2 linked regions of the Stegostoma tigrinum genome follow. The protein of the gene in region 1 purifies or fractionates together with the protein of each later gene. This does not show direct contact. Links are inferred from orthologs where the notes say so. Each region holds a gene or a part of one and is shown in the gene's direction. Other genes may lie near its edges.

What was found. The genes of interacting proteins can lie anywhere in the genome.
Region 2: the proteins of eps15 (region 1) and gja1b purify together in Homo sapiens (affinity purification with western blotting; 3 studies listed by BioGRID). This does not show direct contact. The link is inferred for Stegostoma tigrinum from reciprocal best matches to the Homo sapiens genes EPS15 and GJA1.

Annotation. Positions count from the first base shown.
Region 1 is NC_081361.1:63,483,853-63,490,961, reverse strand, and holds the start of eps15 (epidermal growth factor receptor substrate 15), read left to right. Parts: upstream 1-4,094; 5' UTR 4,095-4,154; coding exon 4,155-4,181; intron 4,182-7,109. UniProt on the Homo sapiens protein: Involved in cell growth regulation. May be involved in the regulation of mitogenic signals and control of cell proliferation. Involved in the internalization of ligand-inducible receptors of the receptor tyrosine kinase (RTK) type, in particular EGFR.
Region 2 is NC_081357.1:64,036,870-64,043,970, forward strand, and holds the start of gja1b (gap junction alpha-1 protein), read left to right. Parts: upstream 1-4,079; 5' UTR 4,080-4,311; intron 4,312-7,101. UniProt on the Homo sapiens protein: Gap junction protein that acts as a regulator of bladder capacity. A gap junction consists of a cluster of closely packed pairs of transmembrane channels, the connexons, through which materials of low MW diffuse from one cell to a neighboring cell.

The DNA of each region.
Region 1 (7,109 bases):
GTAGGTGAGCACTTTGGAGAGAGTGACCATAATTTGGTCATGTTTAGTTTAGCGATGGAAAGGGGTAGGAACATGCCACAGGGCAAGAGTTATAGAAGGGGGAAGGGTAATTATAATGCGATTAGGCAAGACTCAGGAGGCATAGAATGGGGTAGCAAAATGTAGGGGATGGGGACAATCGAAATGTGGAGCTGGTTTAAGGAACAGATATTGCATGTCCTTGATAGGTATGTCCCTGTCAGGCAGGGAGGAAGCGATAAGGTAAGGAAACCGTGGTTTACTAAAGAAATTGTATCTCTTGTTAAGCGGAAGAGGGAGGCTTATGTGATGATGAGACAAGATAGCTCAGATGAGGCTATGGAGAATTACAGATTAGCTAGGAAGGGTTTAAAGAGAGAGTTAAGAAGAGCAAGGAGGGGATATGAGCAGACATTGGCAGGTAGAATAAAGGAGAACCCTAAAGCTTTCTATAGGTATGTGAGGAATAAGAGGATGACTAAAGTAGGAATAGGGCCAGTCAAAGACAGAAGTGGGAAGTTGTGTATGGACCCTGTGGAGATTGGAGATGTCATAAATGAATATTTCTCATCTGTTTTCACTCAGGAAAAGGAGAATATTGTAGAGGAGAAGACTGAGTTACAGGCTACTAGAATTGAAAGGATTAAGGTTAGTAAGGAGGAGGTGTTATCAATTCTAGAAAGTGTGAAGATAGATAAACGACCTGGGCCAGATGGGATTTTTCTGAGGATTCTCTGGGAAGCAAGGGTGGTGGAGCCTTTAGCCTTGATCTTTGAGTCCTCATTTAGTACCAGAGGACTGGAGGATTGCAAATGTTGTGCCCTTGTTCAAGAAGGGCAGTAGAGATGACCCAGGTAATTATAGACCTGTGAGCCTTACGTCTGTTGTAGGAAAAGTTTTGGAAAGGATTATAAGAGATAGGATTTACAATCATCTAGCAAGCAACAATTTGATTGGAGATAGTCAACATAGATTCGTAAAGGGCAGGTCGTGTCTCACAAACCTCACTGAATTTTTTGAGAAGGTGACCAAGCATGTGGATGAAGGTAGGGCAGTTGACGTGGTGTACATGGACTTCAGTAAAGCCTCTGATAAGGTTCCACATGGTAGGCTATTGGAGAAAATACGGAGGCATGGGATTGAAGGAGATTTAGCAGTTTGGATTAGAAACTGGTTTTCTGCAAGAAGGCAACAAGTGGTGGTTCATAGAAAATATTCAGCCTGGAATCCGGTTACTAGTGGTGTGCCTCAAGGATCTGTTTTGGGATCACTGCTATTTGTGATTTTTATAAATGACTTGGACACAGGCATAGGTGCTTGGGTTAGTAAGTTTGCAGATGACACTAAAATCGGTGGAGGGGTGGACAGCGTGGAAGAATATTGCAGGTTGCAGGGAGACTTGGATAAACTACAGAATTGGGCTGAAAGGTGGCAAATGGAGTTCAATGCAGATAAATGTGAGGTGATTAACTTTGGGAAGAATAATAGGAAGGCAGAATACTGGGTCAATGGAAAGATTCTTGGTTGTGTGGACGTGCAGAGGGATCTCGGTGTTCATGTACATAGATCGCTGAAAGTTGCCACTCAGGTTGATCGTGCTGTTAAGAAGGCTTACAGTGTGTTAGGTTTTATTGGTCGAGGGATTGAGTTCCAGAGTGGTGATGTCATGCTGCAACTGTACAAAACGCTAGTGCGGCCTCACTTGGAATGTTGCATGCAGTTCTGGTCGCCCCATTACAGGAAGGATGTGGAAGCATTGGAAAAGGCGCAGAGGAGATTTATCAGGATGTTGCCTGGTCTAGAGCAAAGGCCTTATGAAGAAAGGCTGAGGGACCTGGGTCTGTTCTCATTGGAGAGAAGAAGACTAAGAGGGGATTTAATAGAGACATACAAGATGATCAGAGGATTAGATAGGGTGGACAGTGAGTGTCTTTTTCGGAGGATGATGACGTCAGCTTGTATGAGGGGGCATAGCTACAAATTGAGGGGTGATAGATTTAAGACAGATGCCACAGGCAGGTTCTTTATTCAGAGAGTGGTAAGGGTGTGGAACGCCCTGCCTGCCAATGTAGTTAACAGCCACATGCGGGGCATTTAACAGTCCTTGGATAAGCAGATGAATAATGATGGGATAGTGTAGGGGGATGGGCTTAGATTAGTTCACAGGTCGGCACAACATTGAGGGCTGAAGGGCCTGTTCTGTGCTGTATTGGTCTATGTTCTATGACACTGGGGCAGATGAAAAGCCATGAGTAACTCTCCTGACAGCTATTGTACCTGCAGCTTTTTCAGTTATTAGGACCCTAACTTTCCCTGAGGCACCAGATAGTCAAATTTTTCAAGAGTTGATGGATTTAGTTAGGGAATATTTGACATCCCAAGCTACCTCTAATTCCAAGACATAATCGGGTTTTTTTGGCATTTCAAGAATTGGGCACTTCCACACTGGGATTTGTGACAAGGCAGAGGCATGTAACATTGGTCTAACCCTTAATGAGATACTAAGAGGCTGTTTGGTACGTGGGATTAATGATGTAACCATGCAAAAGCACCGATTAGCTGAACCCAAATGACTTCAAACAGGAACTACAGCTGGCTTTGTCATTAGAAAATGCAGCAAGTGGAGCTTCGAGTTTCAGGAAATGCAAATAGAAGTGGACATTATTCCCAGGCTGAATCATTTTGCAGGACACCACTTGAATGAAGGCAACTGTATAGCCTCACTCAGGACATATTCTGAACTGGGGGACTATAGGTCAGCCCACAGCAAACCACGACCAAACAGCTAACATTCTCTTCAAATTGAGGCCAGCAAGCCATTGTCGATGCTGCCAGTATGTAGATGTGAGATAGCAGAAGCGCATCACTTGTTCTGAACCAAGTAACAGAACTCATAGGCCAATATCCACAGAGTTGCTAATGGGAAGCAAACATCTGCAACAGGTTAAATCTGATCTTCCTGGAGCTGTGGGGGAAGCATAAAACGGCATCAAGAACAACAAGGCCAGACACAAGACTCTGTGAAGCAAGGGAGACAGTTTACTTCAGGGGATGAAGTTTGGTACTGAAACCACAGAAATGGCCCTGCATGGGTAAGACACATGGTCCACACGAAGTCAGGTCCTATGATATAGAAAGAGATAATGGGAACTGCAGATGCTGGAGAATTCCAAGGTGATAAAATGTGAGGCTGGATGAACACAGCAGGCCAAGCAGCATCTCAGGAGCACAAAAACTGACGTTTCGGGCCAAGACCCTTCATCAGAGAGCCTCTGATGAAGGGTCTAGGCCCGAAACGTCAGCTTTTGTGCTCCTGAGATGCTGCTTGGCCTGCTGTGTTCATCCAGCCTCACATTTTATTATCTATGATATAGAAAGTTTGGATAGGTGACGTGGTCCTGAACATATGGACCACATGAAAGATGCAAACTCACAAAAGAAGCAGGGGCGAAACATAGCTGGCCCCTCAGATAACCAGAAAGGCTGTTGAAGCCAGTGGGTTCTTCCTCCTCCATCCAGCATTGAAGAAACCTCAGTCGGAGATGGACAAAGTCGATGTTGCAGCGTCAACACCTTTACTGCTTAGAAAAAAAGGACAAATTTCTTTCAAGATGCTTCGGGCACAAGAGGCATGCTATGGTCTGGTACATGTTGCCCGTATCGGAGGTTGTGTTGGAGGAACCAGGCCCAGTGCAAAAATGCACGGAGAGGCTACAAGGCAAAAACAGGCCTATGTCCCAGAATTTACAGGGGAGCGATGTAGTGATAATAATGTCATCAGTTCTGTTCACTCTGAGACTGGCTCTGTGGATTGGACTAGTTGCAAATAATAGGCTTGTGTAAATAAAGGGTGACTAGGTGACGGCATGCCGGCCTCTGTGGAGCTATGTCAGAAAGATTCAGAGATAAATGATCACCAGGCCAGCAATTGGCCGCACTTGCTCTTTAGTCACTGGCATGGGTTTGAGATTGGTTTTGGCACGCGAAGAGATGTGAGTTTACAGACATTCACACAGAGAGATACACTTCGACAGAAAATTTATTCCACCTCGAAATCCAGTGCCAGGTTTTGTTTGTGATGTTAAAGTTCACGAACTTTTGTTCAGTGCATGATGGGCTAAAGTGTAGGAAACAGCATGGCGGGGCATTTTACACTCACTCAGGTAAAAACCAGATCTTATTATTTAAAACACCGAGGCTGTTCGTTTTAATTTATTTATGTTAGCGAGAGTGGAAACAAAGAGTGGGGGTGGGGTCTGGTTGGAGAAATACGGCTTTTGTGACTGAGAGGAAATGAATTGTTGTGCAGTTGGGGTGCCATTGCACTGGGGCCTGTGAGGCACCAAGAGCCGGGATAAAGGGAACAGTTTGTGGGCGTAGTTTGTGTGAAAGTGCGATTTTGTTTAGGATTTGGAGGATTTGCTGGGCCTCCTTTATTTTTGCGTAAACTCAAGCGGCCAGGAGACTATTGGATGCGGTAGATCGGGCGGTCACTTTATTACGGTTGGGAGGGTGGACCCATGTAGCATTTAAACTGCACCCGGAACATACACTGATGTAAGTTGTAAACAAATGTCTCAAAACTAAGGAAACGGCGTATGCTGGCATTTGAAGCTGATGTCGATTTACCAGTATGTTTCTTTTCTGTAGTATTTCTCATTACATAAGAACACAACGTAAGAACGAGGAGCAGGGGTAGGCCACCCAGCCCCTCGAGCGTCCGCTCGCCAATCAATCAGATCATGGCTGATCTTTTTGAGTCTCAAGTCCACGTACCCGCCCGTACACCATAACCCTTAATTCCTTTAGTGTTCAGAAATTTATCTAGCCTTGGCCTTAAACACGTTCAACGAGGCTGCTTCACTGGGCAGGGAATTCCACAGATTCGCAATCCTTTGGGTGAAGAAGTATCTCCTGACCTCAGTCCTACATCGGCTTCTCTTTATTTTGAGGCTATGCCCCTAGTCTGAGTTGCACCTGCTGAATGAAACAACCGCCCTGCCTCCTCCATATCTATTCTTTTCATAATCTTCTACTTTTCTATAATATCTCCCCTCATTCTTGTGAATTCCAATGAGTATAATCCCTGATCTTCCTGGAGCTATAGGGGGAGCATGAAACAGCATCAAGAACACCAAGGCCAGATACAAGACTCTGTTTTGTAGAGTTTCAGTTTCTCCTCATAATCCATCCCCTCAACTCTGGAATTCCACTTAACATTTCCTGTCCAGCCTTATTTCCACGCAAGTTGTGCATCATGCACCTTCGTACTTTTATCATTCTCAAACATATGTTATGGTGTGTAGATTACCTGAAAAATGTAACAACATAGAATGGGTACAGTACATGAGGAGGCCATTTGTTCTATCATGTATGTGTCAGCTGTCTGCCAGAGCAACACAGTTAGCCACATGTCTTGTTTGTTTCTCCCTATGGGCCTGCACGTTTTTGGTCTGTAGATAATTATTCAGTTTCATGTTGAAAGCCATGACTGAATATGCCTTCGTCACGTTCTGTGGGAGATACCAGACAATTATTCACCTGCAGCCCTTGGCTAAACTGTGGGCTATCTCCAAGGAACCCTGGCCCCCCCAAAGATGTGACATTCCGGCCTGTCAGTGTGTTGACATGCCCTGGTATCCATTAACCACTTGTAGGCCCTCTAAAACATGCTTTAAGGTGAGCAAATTGCCTAAAAAATGTTATAAAATAGAATCTTGCCTTAATGTTAATCAACTAAGTATAGGCTCTGCATCAGTAGTACCCACTGCATTGTGTCTCTGGTTCAGGAGAATCAAAAGCACTGGAGTGGAGTCCGATAGGTAGTTGTACATGTTCTTTTGAATTTAGTCTATACTGTTGGGAGACAATTGCAGATGTTGGGCAAGTACTTGTCTTTATATCCCACTCAGGCTCTGCAGCCAAATAAAAACAAATGAAGACTTCCTCTTCTCTCTTTAGTTGTGGCACTTGTAGCAAATCTTTGCCTTTCTAGAACTGGCATGTTCCACCATTGAAAGAAATGCTGCTGCTCGTCTCATTTGTCCTCACCAGAGTTATAGAACATAGAACATTACAGCACAGTACAGGCCCTTCGGCCCGTGATGTTGTGCCAGCCTGTCATACCGATCTCAAGCCCATCTAACCTACACTATTCCATGTACGTCCATATGCTTGTCCAATGACGACTTAAATGTACCTAAAGTTGGCAAATCTACTACCGTTGCAGGCAAAGTGTTCCATTCCCTTACTACTCTCTGAGTAAAGAAACCACCTCTGACATCTGTCCTATATCTTTCACCCCTCAATTTAAAGCTATGCCCCCTCGTGTGCACCATCACCATCCTAGGAAAAAGGCTCTCCCTATCCACCCTATCTAACCCTCTGATTATTTTATATGTTTCAATTAAGTCACCTCTCAACCTTCTTCTCTCTAATGAAAACAGCCTCAAGTCCCTCAGCCTTTCCTCGTAAGACCTTCCCTCCAGACCAGGCAACATCCTAGTAAATCTCCTCTGCACCCTTTCCAAAACTTCCACATCCTTCTTATAATGCGGTGACCAGAACTGTACACAATACTCCAAGTGCGGCCGCACCAGAGTTTTGTACAGTTGCAGCATAACCTCTTGGTTCTGGAACTCAATCACTCTATTAATAAAAGCTAAAACACTGTATGCCTTCTTAACAGCCCTGCCAACCTGGGTGGCAAAAGGATCTGTGTACATGGACACCGAGATCTCTCTGCTCGTCTACACTACTAAGAATCTTACCATTAGCCCTGTACTTTGCCTTCCGGTTACTCCTACCAAAGTGCATCACCTCACACTTGTCTGCATTAAACTCCATTTGCCACCTCTCAGCCCAGCTCTGCAGCTTATCTATGTCTCTTGCAACCTACAGCATCCTTCATCACTATCCACAACTCCACCGACCTTAGTGTCATATGCAAATTTACTAACCCATCCTTCTATGCCCTCATCCAGGTCATTTATAAAAATGACAAACAGCAGTGGACCCAACACCGACCCTTGCGGTACACCACTAGTAACTGGTCTCCAGGATGAACATTTCCCATCAACTACCACCCTCTG
Region 2 (7,101 bases), on another chromosome or scaffold:
TTGGGTTTAACATTGTTACGATTATCATATTCTGCGAGGAAGCTTTACAATAAAGGTAAGTGTGACAAATTGTGAATTTTTCTTATTTTGTTCAACAATTTTTCCTGTAAGGCATTATTATTGTCTTTGATCTTCTATTGTGTACTGAACATATCCAATTGACACACATTATAAAATGGGTGCATTGCTTGCAAATTGATCATTTATTTATTAACTCTTGCTTATGGTGGAACTTTACTGTACCTCTTTACTCTGTATCAGTCACCCCATGAGGTGATTGATGGGTTGGGTATGCTGTTGAAACTTTGAGATCCACTAGTTCTTCCATGGGTCACTTTTCAACATTGCAAAAAAGAGATCAGATGTCAAGCTCCTTTAAGTCGTTCATTGTTCTTTTCAGGACAAAACTTTGCATAGTCTACTTGTATGTTTGTCTTTCTCTATGTTTGTCTTCTTCAATTCAATGTTATTGCTCTCGATGTAAAAATATTCATCTAACTTTGTTTATGCTTTTGTTTGCTGGTCAGACATGAAATCTTCCCCAATTTGTTTCCTCTGAAGTTGTTATTTAATGTTGACTTTCCAACAGTTCAATGCATCTGAAGGAAGATTTTGCAGGGACTAGCAATTTTCAGTGGCCTGAATAGGTTGGATACAGTGGGGTTGTTTGACTGGATGTTTAACTGAAGTGTATATACCTGAGGTGCCAAGATAGAGTGACAGGAATCCATATCCACTGGCAGCAATGTTAACATCAATAACATTGTTTAAAGTAATCTTGGAAGGATTAAAGAGGCATTACATTCTCTCCTAGATTATTGGAGGAAGAGGGTTGACCTAAGTGCTTAAAAGGATGCAGAATCCCTCATTGTCTTTAATTTAAAAAAAATACACACTTTAGCTAACCTTCAAAATGTTAGTTGAGGAACTTGGATATAGGATGAGGCCGGACCTTTTTATTAGCTGTCACATCATGCTGGATTGTCTTTGTTTCTCTAGCTGGAAAGTTTGCCCTCTTTGGGAGTGGGCTGGTAGGTTGGGAATGTAAAATCAGCTGGCAGGAGGTGAGGAATGTGCTGTGCTCAATGTTTACTTGTGCTGGCCTTTGCCTAATAATGGGGTAGGTAGGTGTTCACTGGCATCCTTGCCTTTGAGCCAACTGAGGTCCTTATATGGTCAATTCGATTGGCACTCTAGCTCACTCAAGATATAATATTGACGTATGGTTCCAAAAAGGGGTTAATGTAGACAAAAGCGATAGCTGTTTACACCTAATGTGGACTGCAACATTACGGAAATAAACATAAATGCTTATGTCGGATGACTGTGTAAATAAACACAACTGGTTATTGGTGTATTCAGAACAATTTTTTAAGTTGTCTTCAACCCTACTCATTTTTTCAGCTCTACTTACTAACACCACCTTTTCACGGCACGTACATATCTGGCGTGTGGTTTAAAGTTCGGCAGACATTCCTTCAGAATATTTTCACTTTTACTTCGCCAGTTTAAACACTTCTTTTCAACACTAAAATAATGTAGGAAAAGAAAATGTAGCTCAGATCTTTGAGATTCAGAGCTAAGATAATTTTGCGCCAGTGGACTAGAAATTAAGACCAGAAGGTGAGAAACGAGGGGGCGCAACAACACCACACTTTGCGACTGCCCACATCACATTCACGTCAAACCCAAATAATACGGCACAAACCCCTTCGTATTTATTCCAGGTAGCCTTCAAAACCAAATTTAATTACAGAGGCTAAACGTAGTTCTGGAAGGTGCAAAGCCGTTTGCTATGTATATTTGTACCTAATTATAAAAATATAAACATACACCGTACACCACACAATGAGTAACCTCCCAATATTCACCGTGCACCAGGACCAGTAACTTTCCAATATATACCTGAGCTGTGCACCAGAACCGGTAGCTCCTCGGTTAATAAAAACCGAAAGAACTGCGGATGCTGTAAATCAGGAACAAAAACAAAGTTGCTGGAAAAGCTCAGCAGCTGAGCTTTTCCAGCAGCTTTGTTTTTGCTCCTCAATTTATACCGTGCGCCACAATCAGAGATTGTCTTAGAACGGTGAGATGGATGACTTCCTTCGAGCTAAGTGATTGTTATCGCTCCTTTCCAGCAGATAATATTCCACATTGTAGGTAAACTAATCTAATCTAATCTAAAACTCTGCTTTTCGATGATCCAGAGGACCATTAAGAGGGGTTTAACATATTCCGGGCAAAGAAATAGCGATCTTAACCGTAACTAAAGCAATTACTATGTTTTTCCCTCCATAGAGATTTTATCTCCCTGCATATGTTTGATGTAATTAAGTTAACCCCCACCCCGCACCCTATTCCAGGCAGCGCGTCTGTAGAAAACATCTTTCTGGTAGCTATGCGGTGAGAGATAGTAGGAACTGCCGATGCTGGAGAATCTGAGATAACAAGGCGTAGAGCTGGATGAACACAGCAGGCGAAGCAGCATCAGAGGAGCAGGAAGGCTGACGTTTCAGGCCTGAACACATCTTCAGAAAAAAGGTACAAGCACGAAACATCAGCTTTCCTGCTCCTCTGATGCTGCTTGGTCTGCTGTGTTCATCCAGCTCTACACCTTGTTAGTTCTGGTAGCTATGGCGACTGTACAAAAAATGACCTTCCAGATTACATTCACTGCGAGCATCGCTGCTGGAGAGCTGGGCCATTCTCTCCGATTATGGGTATAACAACATGATGCAACTGAACGTTATCATTGACATGCTTTCAATAAATTACGGGCCCAATCTTGAAAAAAAATCCTGGAAAATGATAATTTTGCTTGTTTTTCTTCTTGTCATCCCAGTTTATTTGCCGGGTAGTGGAGAATCTAAAATGCCACACGCGGGCACTTTTGCATTTTGATATGTACCTCGGAATGGCCTACACAAACAAAAACAGAGCTTGTGCTCCTAAGACGCTGCTTGGCCTGCTGTGTCCATCCAGCTTCACACTTTGTTATCTCAGATTCTCCAGCATCTGCAGTTCCCATTATCTCAGTGCAGGAGAAACTCGTCAGGCCTGGTCGCATCTGTGGAGAGGAAGCAGAGTTAACGTTTCGGGCGCAGTGATCCTTCTTCCGAACGGGGAATAGCTTACACTGATTTTTTTCTAGGCCTTTGATGTTAACAATATTCTACGACATAAGATTACTTCAAATCAGCTGGCAATGTTCCAGAGTGTAATTCAAATGTTTAGGTTATTTTGTAATAATCCTTTGTAACACTATATTTCTAATGCAAAACATGCCAGTCAAAAAATGTTTTGATCACACTCGGTGAAATCAAATCAAAAGTTACTACGAATTCTACGTTTCTGTTGTAACTCCTGTGTGCTTCTGGGCAGGCTCCTTTTAGCGGAGTTCTGGCTCGAATAATACAAAAAATATCCATTGCATTTATTTTCCCAACAGTAAACAGTTAATCGCAAATCGTCCAGGATTCAGTTCATATATTGAACTACATCCCAATACAGAGCACAAGTGGATTGCTACAATATTAGGTCAACTTGCCACTCAACCTTAATAATATCTCCAAACATCAACACGTCACCAATGAGTTATTTTTTAAATAGTTTTGTCTTCTCGATAGAATAGTTGGTAAAAGACCGTCGGAAGTTTACTCTTGAAGTCACGTTATTTTGCAAAGAAAACTCCATTTATGGAAGGAGTAAAACAAAGGCACGTGCTGGAGATCTGAAGATTAAACCAGTGAAAGGTGGTAAACGGTATTGTTTAATATCAGGCCTCCGTGACTGACACTGCTGGTTCTTAACTCTCTTGAGGAGCGAGCAGTCCACGTGGACTTTAAAAGTTTGAAATTTGTTTGAAATAAGTATGGGGTTAGCGTTAACAAATATACACCAGTTGAATCACAGTGTTAATGTTAGGGAGATGCTGAGCAGCTTGCACGCTCGGGCTGTGAGATGTACTGGTAACAGTCACAATCTGTAACAGGTCCGCGGCTGCAGCATAGATAGACGACTAACAGCCGGGGGCTACCGCTGTGCAAGGAGCGGTGGGGTAGAGGGGACCGAAGCCTGCCGGTTCCCTGAAACTTTCAGAGGAGGTCATCGCAAGCCGTGACGTCACGAGTCAGGTGACTCAAAACTTTTTTTGAGCTAAAAGCCCTTTAAATCGGGCAGCGGACAGTGTACAGGCTAGAGACAGGTTACTCTTTCACCTAGAAGCGGTGCAACATTCAGCCGATTAGTTTTACTGCTCCCGAGCTGAACAATTCGAAGCCTCGTCCACATTTTCTTCCGACACTTTGTTGGGTAAGTTGCACAGCTTGCTTCTCACTGCATCTGTCTCAGAGAGAGAGAGAGAGAGAGAAAACCAAGTTTCCGAGAGTTCACATTCACTTTTCGGCTGGTGAAAGTAACTCTCTTCCACCGTATCGTGCGTTTTAAAGTGATGTTGTTCTTTCGAGGGATTAATAGTTTCAAAACTGCCCTGCACTGTTGATCTTAAAGGATTGTTCGGGAACATTTAAGAGATGAATGGAATACACTCCAACTGTTTTAGATCCCACATGCAGAGGAATATATAATCACTAATTTTCCAAAGACTTGAATTTACAAAACTTGCCCAGAATCTAACTTGTCCCAGCGTTCAAGAGCAGGAAAAAGAAACGGATATTACTGTTCATTAACTAATTCCTCTTTACCTTCAAACATTTAGCCTGATCTAGCCGCATCTTTTACGTGCACTGATTTCTTAAAGTCACTATGAGTTGGAGTAAGTTCTAGGCGATGTTAAAAACGCGGCTTTTTCGACTTAAACCTTACGTTTTCCGTCCAAAGTGACCAACCGTCTTCGAGGTTAGTTTAGAAATATTAGCTAGCAGTCTTATTCACACAACCAGCCCCACGTCCCCGTGCTTCCTACCTCTTGGGGTGGGGGGAAGCAAAGTTCGGAGAGATGAAGTGTACTGTTGAGCAGTTGAGCTGAAGTGAAGAGAAACTTCTCCGGGTTCCCGTTGGCAGGTGCCCTTGTCCAGTGAAGCATATACCTTCAGACAGGACAGAGTTTGTGATGTAGCGTCCCTGGACCCCCCCCCCCCCCCCCGCCCCAGGACAGGAGACCCGCGTAAAGCCCTACACCCGTTGCCCCAGCCATGCATGGTAACGTACATAGGCTAGTTAACAGAATTGGCGTATTTTGTGGCGCTGTGGTACAGTCTAAGGACCAAATTTGACTCAGAAACCAACTTTGCAACAACTTATACAACTTTTAAAGCAATGGAAAAACCCAGTGCAATTCCCGGGAGCTATATAAAGGGAGGTGACCCGGGTTCCAAGTCTCACCATCCTACAGAGAGGCGTATAGCACCATCCCTGAACAGGTCGATTGGGAAATTATCTACGTCCAGTCAAGCAAATATGTGTGTTACTTGTGAGTTTGTGGAATCCTAATTACATTAATACGATCGCAAACAACAGACTACTTTTCTAGTTACCTGTGTGATTAACAGTTGTATTATCTACCATTCAGTATACGGATAAGGGCACGTTAATGACTATCACGTTAGAATCGAGCCAGCGCAAATTTCATTTTAGATCCATTACAGAGTGAAACGGCTGGGAATCAAGGACTGAGAGGGATTTTACCCATCACTAGATGCAAATTGTAAAACTTAGCAATGAAGTTGGAGAAAAGATACATCAGTTAAGCACGCATTTTGATATGAAGTCAAATATGCCACCCCTTTTAAAAAGAAGTGCCCATGTACAGTGCGGAGCTGGACGAACACAGCAGATCAGGCAGCGCTGGAGAAGCGAGAAAGTCTAAGTCAGATGAGGAGTCCCAATCCGAAACATTGACTTTTCTGCTCCTCTGAAGCTGCCTGACCTGCTGTGTTCCTCCAGCTCCGCACTGTATCGACTCTGAATCCATCATCTCCTTTAAAAAAAATTACATCTCTTTTGGAGAACGGTTCATGAAAGAAGCCAAAAATGACTTTAAGAAGGATCGTGTTCACCGAAATGCTCTAGAAATGACACACTCTGTACATGATGAGGTGGCTTGTTCGCGAAAGGTGGTTTTGAATAAACCTGAAGCAATATTTAGTTCAGACATCACAGACTGCAAACTCCGGAGCAGGAGAAATCACCGAGTTACAAGTTCAAACGAAAAGTTTCCAATGAATGTAGACATCAAAATAAAACAACTCTTCAAACTCTATGCTGCTTTGATTTCTTTTTCCCAAGGACTAGATTGTCTCCTAAAATATAAAATTTGGCTTAGAAACCAACTTCACAGCAATTTGTATAGCTTTTCAACACAATAGAAATACTCAGTGCAACTCACGGAGCTTTGTAAAAAAAACACGAAACGTGACACCAAGTCACATAAAGAGATGCTTTGTGAAAGAAGTTACTTTTAAGAAGCACCTTTCCTCTTGTAAAGTGTAGAGGTGAAGGGTGGGTATTCGAAATTTAGGGATTAAATAGAGAAAAGCACAGCCACTTATGATGGGACAATTAAGGAAGGGGTATACAAAAGGTGAGATCTAAAGGAGTGCAGATATCTTGATGGATTCTTCGACTAGGGACCATTGAAGCAACAGGAAAGAGTGAGAGTATGGAGGGATATGAAACTAAGGGGTGAACATCTTAAAATGAAGATGTTGTTTGACTGGGTGCCAATGTGGTACAGTGAGCACAGAGGTAATAGGGAAATGAACCTTGGGAGATCAGCCAAGGGTACATTAAGATTATTAAATTCAGACATAACACAACTGAGGGCTCCAGCAGCAGATGAACTGCCATGGATGAAGTTGGGTGATTTTACAGCAGTGGGAAAAGATAATCTTCAAATTGCCATAATAAGGTAGAATCTCATATCAGGATCAAATCTGATGCTAACACTGTGAACATATTGGCTTAATCCCAGACTGTTGCTATCATTACCAGGGAAAGGGATAGAGTCAGTTGTTAGGGTATAAAGTTTGCAGAGGGGATTAAAAACAACTTTTAGTCTTCCCAGTTTTTAATTAGAGGAAACCCTCTGCTCATTACAGCTAATGTTAAGCAGTCTTATAATATAGCAACAATGCAGGGGCT